Linked DNA regions of Mus musculus. The protein of the gene in region 1 purifies or fractionates together with the protein of each later gene. This does not show direct contact. Links are inferred from orthologs where the notes say so. Each region holds a gene or a part of one and is shown in the gene's direction. Other genes may lie near its edges.

Region 1 (4,010 bases):
TGCCCACCCACAGAGTTGAGAGCCCTTCAGGGGAACAGCAAATGACCTGGGAGAATCCGCTGGCCCAGTTGTTGCCAGCTCCTCCGCCATGCTCCGACAGGTAGATGTTCTCTGGGTTGTAGAGCTTAGCATAGGAGGAGTTTAGGATGGAATGGATCACCCGGGGCTCCAGGTCCAGCAGCACAGCCCGGGGGATGTAGTGCTCATCATCTGCCTGTCAGAGGGAAGCCAGGATGGGTCAAGTCCTGAAGCCTCCCAACTCTGGCTCCTGCAGGCTCTCCCTCAAGATAGCCACTCTGTTCCCATCCATCCACTCAGAGTTTCCCAGCACCAGATCGCGCTGCCAGTCCCGCCAGGGTCCTGGTCAAGTCACTTGGGGGAGCACCTGGTAGAAAAAGACGTCCTTTCGGTCAGTGCCCTCCGTGGCGAACTCTTCTACGATGCCCTCGGGACTGATGCCATGCTCGGCACATAGCTGTTTCCAGAACTCGAACCCAACTAAGAGAGGGAGGCGGAAGGTGAAGAAAAAAGATACGTGAGTCTGGGTAGGTTCCAAATAGCCAGTGGGGGATTTGAACGCCTGGGTCTAGGGATCTAGATTAGCCTTGGGACTCCCTAGTGTCTAGGCCAATGACTGGACAGGGGAAGGTCCATTGGCTTTAGGCAGTTGGGCACAGGGTTGGGAATCGCCTTTGTGGGGGAGAACTAGGATTCTGCAGACAGACCGAAGCTATGACCTTATTGCGAGGGCCTCTTGCACCTAAGGAACCTGGGAGGCAGAGGGTCTGGGAGGTTCGCTCACTCTGATTGCCGCACTGGCCCAACTGTAGGGTGATGATTTCTCTCGGCATCGCTCCTCAGACATCGGCGTTGCAGTCTCTCCCGCCAGCAACACCGCCGACCGCTAGCGCGCTCGCCGGCAAGACGCAGGCGCCAGACAATGCGCTCCACCCCTAATCGTTCTCCGCTCCAATGGGAGCTGGGTTCTGCAGATGAAATTTCCTCCTTCATCGGGCTTCAGTCGTGCGAGTTGCGCGTGCGCGGCTCCGAATCGCGCTCAGCGCCGGGAACGCATTTCGACGCAGTGTTCTCTTCCGTCTGATGAATGCGCACCGGAGCGTCTGCGCATGCGCGCGTGGGCGTTCCGGCACTTGCCCCGCCCCGCCCCTTCTCCGCCCGGCCGCAGCCAAATCGTGCTTCTGCGCAGTCGGTGTTATTGTGACTCCCGGGCCGTGGCCCCGGATGTTGTGGCTGCTGAAGGGGAGATGGAGGAGGCTGAAGGGGTGGCCGCGGCCCCGGGTCCAGCTTCGGGGTTGGCTTTCAGGGGCCGCCGAGCTATGTCCGGCTCCTGGGAGCGCGACCAGCAGGTTGAGGCGGCGCAGCGGACCCTGGTGGAGGTGCTGGGCCCTTACGAGCCTCTGCTGAGCCGGGTGCAGGCAGCCCTGGTGTGGGAGCGGCCGGCCAGGAGCGCCCTGTGGTGCCTGGGGCTGAACGCGGCGTTCTGGTGAGACACCCGGACCCTCACTGACCCTACTAGGCGGGAATTCCTCAGGTTGTTCTGGGGGGGGGGGTGTCGATCTCTCACCTGCCCTGTCCTGCCTTCTTTCGTCGCCCTGGCTGCTTCTGATACTTGCCTGATAATGCTTCACTTTCCCCAGCATCCCGCCTGCCTCCAGGCTTTGGCACCCCGGGTGCTCGCAGGGCCTTCCTGGTCTTCTCCACTTGCCCCCACGACTCGCCAGAGAATCTGGTACCATCCCGTGTCGCTCGCAGTAAGCCGGGGTGCCTCTTGTTAGCGAGAGAAAGTGATTTCACTTCGAGACCATTTCCTCCGTTTCTCTTGCTTGCCCCAGGGTGGTGGTTCCGAGAGGTTTTAACTTAACGATGATGGGAGGAGAGGCAGAAGGGTATCCCTGGGTGTGAGGAGGAAAACAAGCTTGAGCCGGTTATCATGGATTATTAGCATGTTAGATACCGTCTCACCCAGTCAAGTTGGTGAAGTTTGTGTGGAGTTTCAGCTTGAAAGAAAAGTAGATGTATTAAGAAGGAAAAAATTAAAAAACAGTGGTGATCTTTCATCTGTTTCAGAGCCACTTAGGATTGCAACGCTTCCCCCCAAAAATTAGACCTTAGCTGTGGTTCAAGGAGTTTGAGGCTGTCTGAGAGCCGTTGAGTTCTCTTTCACTGGACAAGTGGCTTTATATTAAAGTGTGTGTTTCATTCTCTGGAAAAAATGAGAGCACCTAGGAGGAGTTTGGGCTTCATCGAGTCTACCAACCATGGTTTGGGTTTATTAATAACCATAGTACTGATCAAATTCCAAGGGAACTGACATATCACTGAGGCTTCTACAACCAGAAGAGATGAGACTCTTTGAATAAGCCTGTGTGTGTGTATGTGTATAGGGGTGTGGTCCTGAGATGGGGTGGTCGTGAGGAGTTGTGGGTACTTGTAGAGGCTAGAAGCATCAGATCCCCCTGGAGCTGGAGATAGGTGGGGGTTGCTGGGAACTGAACTTCTCTGGGAGAGCAGTATGTGCTCTTAGCCACCGAACCATCTCTCTAGCTCTGGAACACATTTCAAAGCTGCAACAGATTTGCTGGTCCTCAACAGTGTATTCTTTTTTGGCTCCAAATATCCTCTCCACAGAGCAGGCCTTGAACTTCTGACCTTCCTGCTCCCAGCTCCCGAGGATTGGGGCTATTGACACTGGCCACCATGCTGTACCATAGTGTTTACTTAGGCTAAGTCTGCGTTTAGAATCTTTCTCAGAACCCCTCTTGTGCTAAGTTGTGACTGATCCCTATCTCTGGCATTTCCGGGTAGTATGCCTGCTGTGTAGCCACAATGCAGGAGGTGGGGGAGAGATCCACCAAAGTGAGTGTGGCCTAAGACTTAAAAAACAATTGAGCTTGTCATTTATAGAGGGGACTCATACCTTGGGAGGGGTACAGATAGTATTAAAGTCCAAGCGGGTTAAAGTAGTCAGACATTGGCACTTATAGAATTGTTTTGGGAGAATGAATTTCTTTGAGGGCTAAACACAGTTCACTCCTCAGTAGTGTCTTTGTGAGTGTTGTCATTTCACTTAGTAGAGTAAAGAATGACTAGATTTTCAACGAATTGAAGAAGTATCACTAAGTTAGGTCAGAAACAACAAATCTGAAGTACTTCTTATATTATTTATTAGGAATAATGACGTTATCAAAAGCTGAGGTGCTTTTGATGAGTCAGAAGATTAGCTTGATACTACAAAGTTGTCACCTGAGTGCTGGAGTCCACCTTAGCGTAGTAGAGCCTACCTCCAAACCTGATGCCCTGATCCAGCTTCTGTAAGCTGTCACCTGACTTACACACACACACACACTCCCCCCCCCTCTGTCTCTCTCTCTCTCTCTCTCTCTCTCTCTCTCTGAAAGAATTTTTTTTTTCCCAAGTCCTCCAAATTCAGGGCACATAGTGTGTTTAGTGATGTACATTCCTTCTCTGGTGTAGTTTTCCCTGTACCTGTGACTATGCCCTCTTACTTTCTAAACACAGGAGGTTCATAAAAGAATTCCATGTGGTAGGGTGCCACCATGTATTTCCAGGGTGTCCCCTCCCAGGTACCAGAGAAATCAGGGTGACCCTGTCCAAAATCTTGTAACCCACATCGCTTCTAGCCCCTGCTCTGTTGCTGTCTTTAGAATAATAATGGCTTCCCTCTAAAAGCCGACTTTTTCATTAATCTCACCCCATCTGCAGATGAGTGACCCACAGGGAGACCATGAAAGTCGGCAGGAGGGCATCATGGCAGGACCAGAAAAGGACAGGTTCCAGGAACTTCGATTGGACTGATAGGAGATGGGGGAGCACGAGGGTAAAGCCCCGCTGGCCCTAACTTGATGAACAGCACAGAGCTCACAGGGGGCTATAGACTGGAGCTCCTTGTCCCTGTGATTCCAGGTGGCCTTTGGGGACATGAGCGTAACTCGCAGCTGATGCCCTGTTACCTCTTGGGAACTGTTTCA
Region 2 (4,173 bases), on another chromosome or scaffold:
CAGGGGTGGTGGATGCCTCCACAGAAACAATCTTTTCCAGACCAAATGGGCAGATGCACACATGAATTCAGAGACTGTGGCAGCGTACACTCGCCCTGCATAAGCTCAAGCCAGACACAAAGACCAGCACAGAGGAGGGGAAGTGGGCACAAAGTCTCTCTCATCCCTAGCCATGAAGCTATTCGAAACTGATATCTGCTGGAAAAGGGAAAGTTAGTCTTCTCCAATGGAGCTGCACTGGGTATATTAACTATACTCCAGGGTAGGTCCCATGCTCAGGAGTAGTTGGCCATCACAAATCAGACTCCATGGTTCTGTTTGGTTTTTGGGGTGTGTGTGTATGTGCGCGCACTTGAAAGGCATAGGCAGGTAGATCTCTGAATTCAAGGCCAGCCTGATCTACAGATAGAGTTCCAGGACAGCCAGGGGTACAAAGAGAAACAATGTCTCAAAAAAAACCAAAAACAAAAACCCTACGATGATGATGATGATGAAGAAACTAAGGTACTAACGATGATGACGATGACAGTAATGATATATCTAAGTTTGTCAAATGTTATAGATAGCCAGTGTGGCCAATCTAATAAGAAGACGCTTCAACAATTCCATCATTTCGCACAACAACAACAAGAAGCACAAAACAGCAAGTGTTGATTTTAGAATTTTCTGGGATATCTCTATTCCTGTCTCAGAAACAGGTGGGTTTTCAAAATTCTAGGAAAGAAGATCCGGGGTGAACCCGGATCATCACTCAGTCTCTAAGACACTGGGGTCAGAATGCCCAGGTATATGGATCGTGGAAAGATGCTTTAGAAACAAGTGGAGTCCTGAAGCTGTCAGAAGGGTGATTCTCCAATCCCACTCTTCCCTCCTTTCTAGCATGGTCAGTCAGCTGGACTTCTGCGAAGGTAAGATCAGATCAGAACGTGCTTCCTGTGGGCCAACCACTCATTTCATTCTCTATCCCATTTTACAGAGATGGAGAAATGATAAAAAGGCATCCGAGGAACACTCTCGAGTTGTCTTTTATTTCCTCTCCTTTCCTTTTGTTTGTTTGCAACAGTGTATTGATGATACACCTGTAATCCAGCCTCACTGATAATTCTCCTGTCTCCACCTCAGAGACTCCTGTGCGCCACCCACACCTAGCTAGCAGTTCGGGGTTTTTTTGTTTTGTTTTGTTTTGTTTTGTTTTTTGTTTTGTTTTTTTCCTCCCTATCTGTCCACCTGCCAACCTTTCAGAAGACTATTCGACCGGCGGCCCCACCTCCGAAGTGCGCCGAGCATCGCCGCTTTAAGAGACGGTCCTTTTGTCTCCCTGACCTCGTCCCGCCCCTCTGAGGGCTCCATTGCGCCTGCGCCTGGAGCTTGAGCGCTGGGGTTGGGCAGGATCTGGTTCCGTGCAACTTTTAAGTGAGTTACAAACTCCGCCCCGAGACCGGTGCAGGTGGTCGGGCGCTCTGCCACCCGGGCGGCAGGTGAGAGCTGAGGTCCGGCCTGCCACCCGGACCCGAGACCAGCAGCGCCGCCCTCGACGGGGGACGAACGGTTCTCCGCGGCAGGAATTGTGGGACTGAGCCGCCAGGATTCGGCGAGGCGGAGGGACGCGCCCTCCCGCCTCGATCACAAGGCGGCTTCCTCTGCTAGGCCCTCGGTCCCCTGGTTCCGGGTTCTCCTGGCTCCCCGCACTGCGGGGTCGAAGTCAGGGGTGGTGATCTCCGCCTACACCGAGGGAGAGGTGTACTGCAGCACCACTCACCCCCTTGTCCCAGCTCCTGAGTGAGCGTCCCTCCGCTTGTCTCTTGGGGTCATCCCCCTAGGCTGTCAGGATGGTGTCCTGGATGATCTGTCGCCTGGTAGTGTGAGTATGGTCACTGTGAGACACCTCCCCCCTCCCTTTTGTCCCAGGATGCCAACCTGCCTTTGGGTGGAAACTGGGGACGTTTGTAAAGAAGGGAAAATTTAAAGACTTCATGACCCCGTTTCCCAGCACACACTTAACGGTCCTGGGGGTCTGAAGTGGGACCTGGTCACTGCATACCTTGTTTCCACCCTGCAGCCTTCTGGTCTGACAGAGACCCTTCCTGCAGACAGGTGCTGCTAGGGCTCAGGGCTTTTACCACCTACAGTCCTGTGAGAAGGTGATTAGGTACTGCTGTGGGCGGAGAATCTAGGTGCCTCCTTCCCATCTGAGCAGCCACATGACCCACCACCCTAGCTTCAGCTTCTGCAGCCTGCACCTCACTTTTGGATATCCCAATACCTGGCTCAAATGTCCCTCACTGCATGCTGGTGGTCCTGGGCCTGATTACGTGTAGTGGGAGCGGACAGCCTAGTGTTCTCACCCACCTTGTGTGTTCTCAGTCTGTCCTGTACCCATGGGCCACCAGCGCAGGCCTAGGCAGGCTTGGTATGTTTGTAAACAGCCGGGTGGGGAGGCAGCCTCCGGGGCACTGACTCAGGCACCCAGGGTTGTGCAAGCCAAGCGGGAAAAACAGGGCAGGCACTGCCATCTCGCACCCAGGTCAGGGGGAGCAGCCACCTGGCAGGGAGAGGGTGGGGCATGGTCCCCTCACACTTCCTGTGACTGCTGTTCCAGGCTCATATTTGGCATGCTGTATCCTGCGTATGCTTCCTACAAGGCCGTGAAGAGCAAGAACATTCGAGAATATGTGAGTGCAAAGAGTGGGGTAGACGACAACATTGAGGAATGGTCAGGGAGGTGGTAGGACTTGGTGATGCTGGAGGGCCTGGCCTGTCAGACTCCAGGGGCTCGATCGATGGTGGAACAGATCTCAAGTAGAGTGGTCTAGTGGAAGGAAGGCCAGCCATTATTAACAATAGCCATGGAGGATCTCGTGGGCGAAGCATGCTGGGGGGGGGGGCACTGGAACGGAAGGCAGTTTCTCAGGGGCTCCTGTCTAAGCAGATGTGGGAAACTGTAGCCAGCAATGCAGTGGGACTGGCTTTGAGGAATCTCTGGGTTGGGCAGGCTGGGGGCGGGTCCTGGCGGCTTAGGCTCGTGAGCTGAGCTCTGCACTCTGACCCACAGGTACGGTGGATGATGTATTGGATTGTCTTTGCGATCTTCATGGCAGCAGAAACCTTCACAGACATCTTCATTTCCTGGTCCGGCCCAAGGATTGGCAGGCCATGGGGTTGGGAAGGGCCTCACCACCACCACCACCACCACCTGGCCTCTGGCTCACACAAACCCCTCCCCTTGCTTACACACAGGTTCCCGTTTTATTACGAGTTCAAGATGGCTTTTGTGCTGTGGCTGCTCTCACCTTACACCAAGGGGGCCAGCCTGCTTTACCGAAAGTTTGTCCACCCATCCCTATCCCGCCATGAGAAGGTACCTCTGAGGGAGATAGAGCAGAAACAGGAGGGTGTGTCAGGGCAGTGTGTCAGAGCGAAAGCCCTGTATCTCAGGTTCAGGCAGCCAGAGGTGCCTGGGTCTTATTCCCTGTCCCTCTATAGTTTTGCTGTGGGACTGTGAAAGGGGTTGGCTTTCCCCATCCACCTGGATGATACATATGGACGACCTTTAGGGTTATGACAAGCCAGCAGGAAGTTGACGTGGGCATGGAAGAATGGAAGGGACACCCACTAAGTTGTGGAGAGGGTGTGTAGTTGGGGAGTCCTGCTTTCAGTTGTTCTGAACCTAAATCTGTGGCTCCTGGGTCCTGGGTAGGGCTCATGGGATTATGACAACCAGTGGCTTCTTGGGGTCTGCAAAGACGGTGGTTCTTTCGTTGATCTGAGCTCTCCGCCCTGGGTCTGCAGGAGATCGACGCGTGTATCGTGCAGGCAAAGGAGCGCAGCTATGAAACCATGCTCAGTTTTGGGAAGCGGAGCCTCAACATCGCTGCCTCAGCTGCTGTGCAGGCTGCTACCAAGGTGCCGTGGGCCCCGGTGATCACAGCGCCTCCCCCGCTCCCAGATCAGTTCTGAATCTTGTGCCCCAGAGATTAGCTGAAGGGCAGCTTCCCCGTTACAGCCCTTCCCCTCGCAGCCCTCCTCTGGAGTTAACAGCGGCTCCCATCCCTCACCTCCTAGAGTCAAGGCGCTCTAGCTGGAAGGCTGCGGAGTTTCTCTATGCAAGACCTGCGCTCTATCCCTGACACCCCTGTCCCCACCTACCAAGATCCCCTCTACCTGGAAGACCAG

Evidence for each region.
Region 2: the proteins of Retreg3 (region 1) and Reep4 purify together in Homo sapiens (affinity purification with mass spectrometry; 3 studies listed by BioGRID and IntAct, with this or other methods). This does not show direct contact. The link is inferred for Mus musculus from reciprocal best matches to the Homo sapiens genes RETREG3 and REEP4.

What each region holds. Positions count from the first base shown.
Region 1 is NC_000077.6:101,117,035-101,121,044, reverse strand, and holds the start of Retreg3 (reticulophagy regulator 3), read left to right. Parts: upstream 1-1,203; 5' UTR 1,204-1,265; coding exon 1,266-1,504; intron 1,505-3,744; exon of another isoform or gene 3,745-3,859; intron 3,860-4,010. Other genes in the region: Tubg1 (tubulin gamma-1 chain), read right to left, coding at 47-214, 386-498, 803-851. UniProt on the Homo sapiens protein: Endoplasmic reticulum (ER)-anchored autophagy regulator which exists in an inactive state under basal conditions but is activated following cellular stress.
Region 2 is NC_000080.6:70,543,878-70,548,050, forward strand, and holds the start of Reep4 (receptor expression-enhancing protein 4 precursor), read left to right. Parts: upstream 1-1,373; 5' UTR 1,374-1,829; coding exon 1,830-1,861; intron 1,862-2,599; coding exon 2,600-2,672; intron 2,673-3,052; coding exon 3,053-3,129; coding exon of another isoform or gene 3,130-3,237; coding exon 3,238-3,358; intron 3,359-3,789; coding exon 3,790-3,903; intron 3,904-4,062; coding exon 4,063-4,173. UniProt on the Homo sapiens protein: Microtubule-binding protein required to ensure proper cell division and nuclear envelope reassembly by sequestering the endoplasmic reticulum away from chromosomes during mitosis.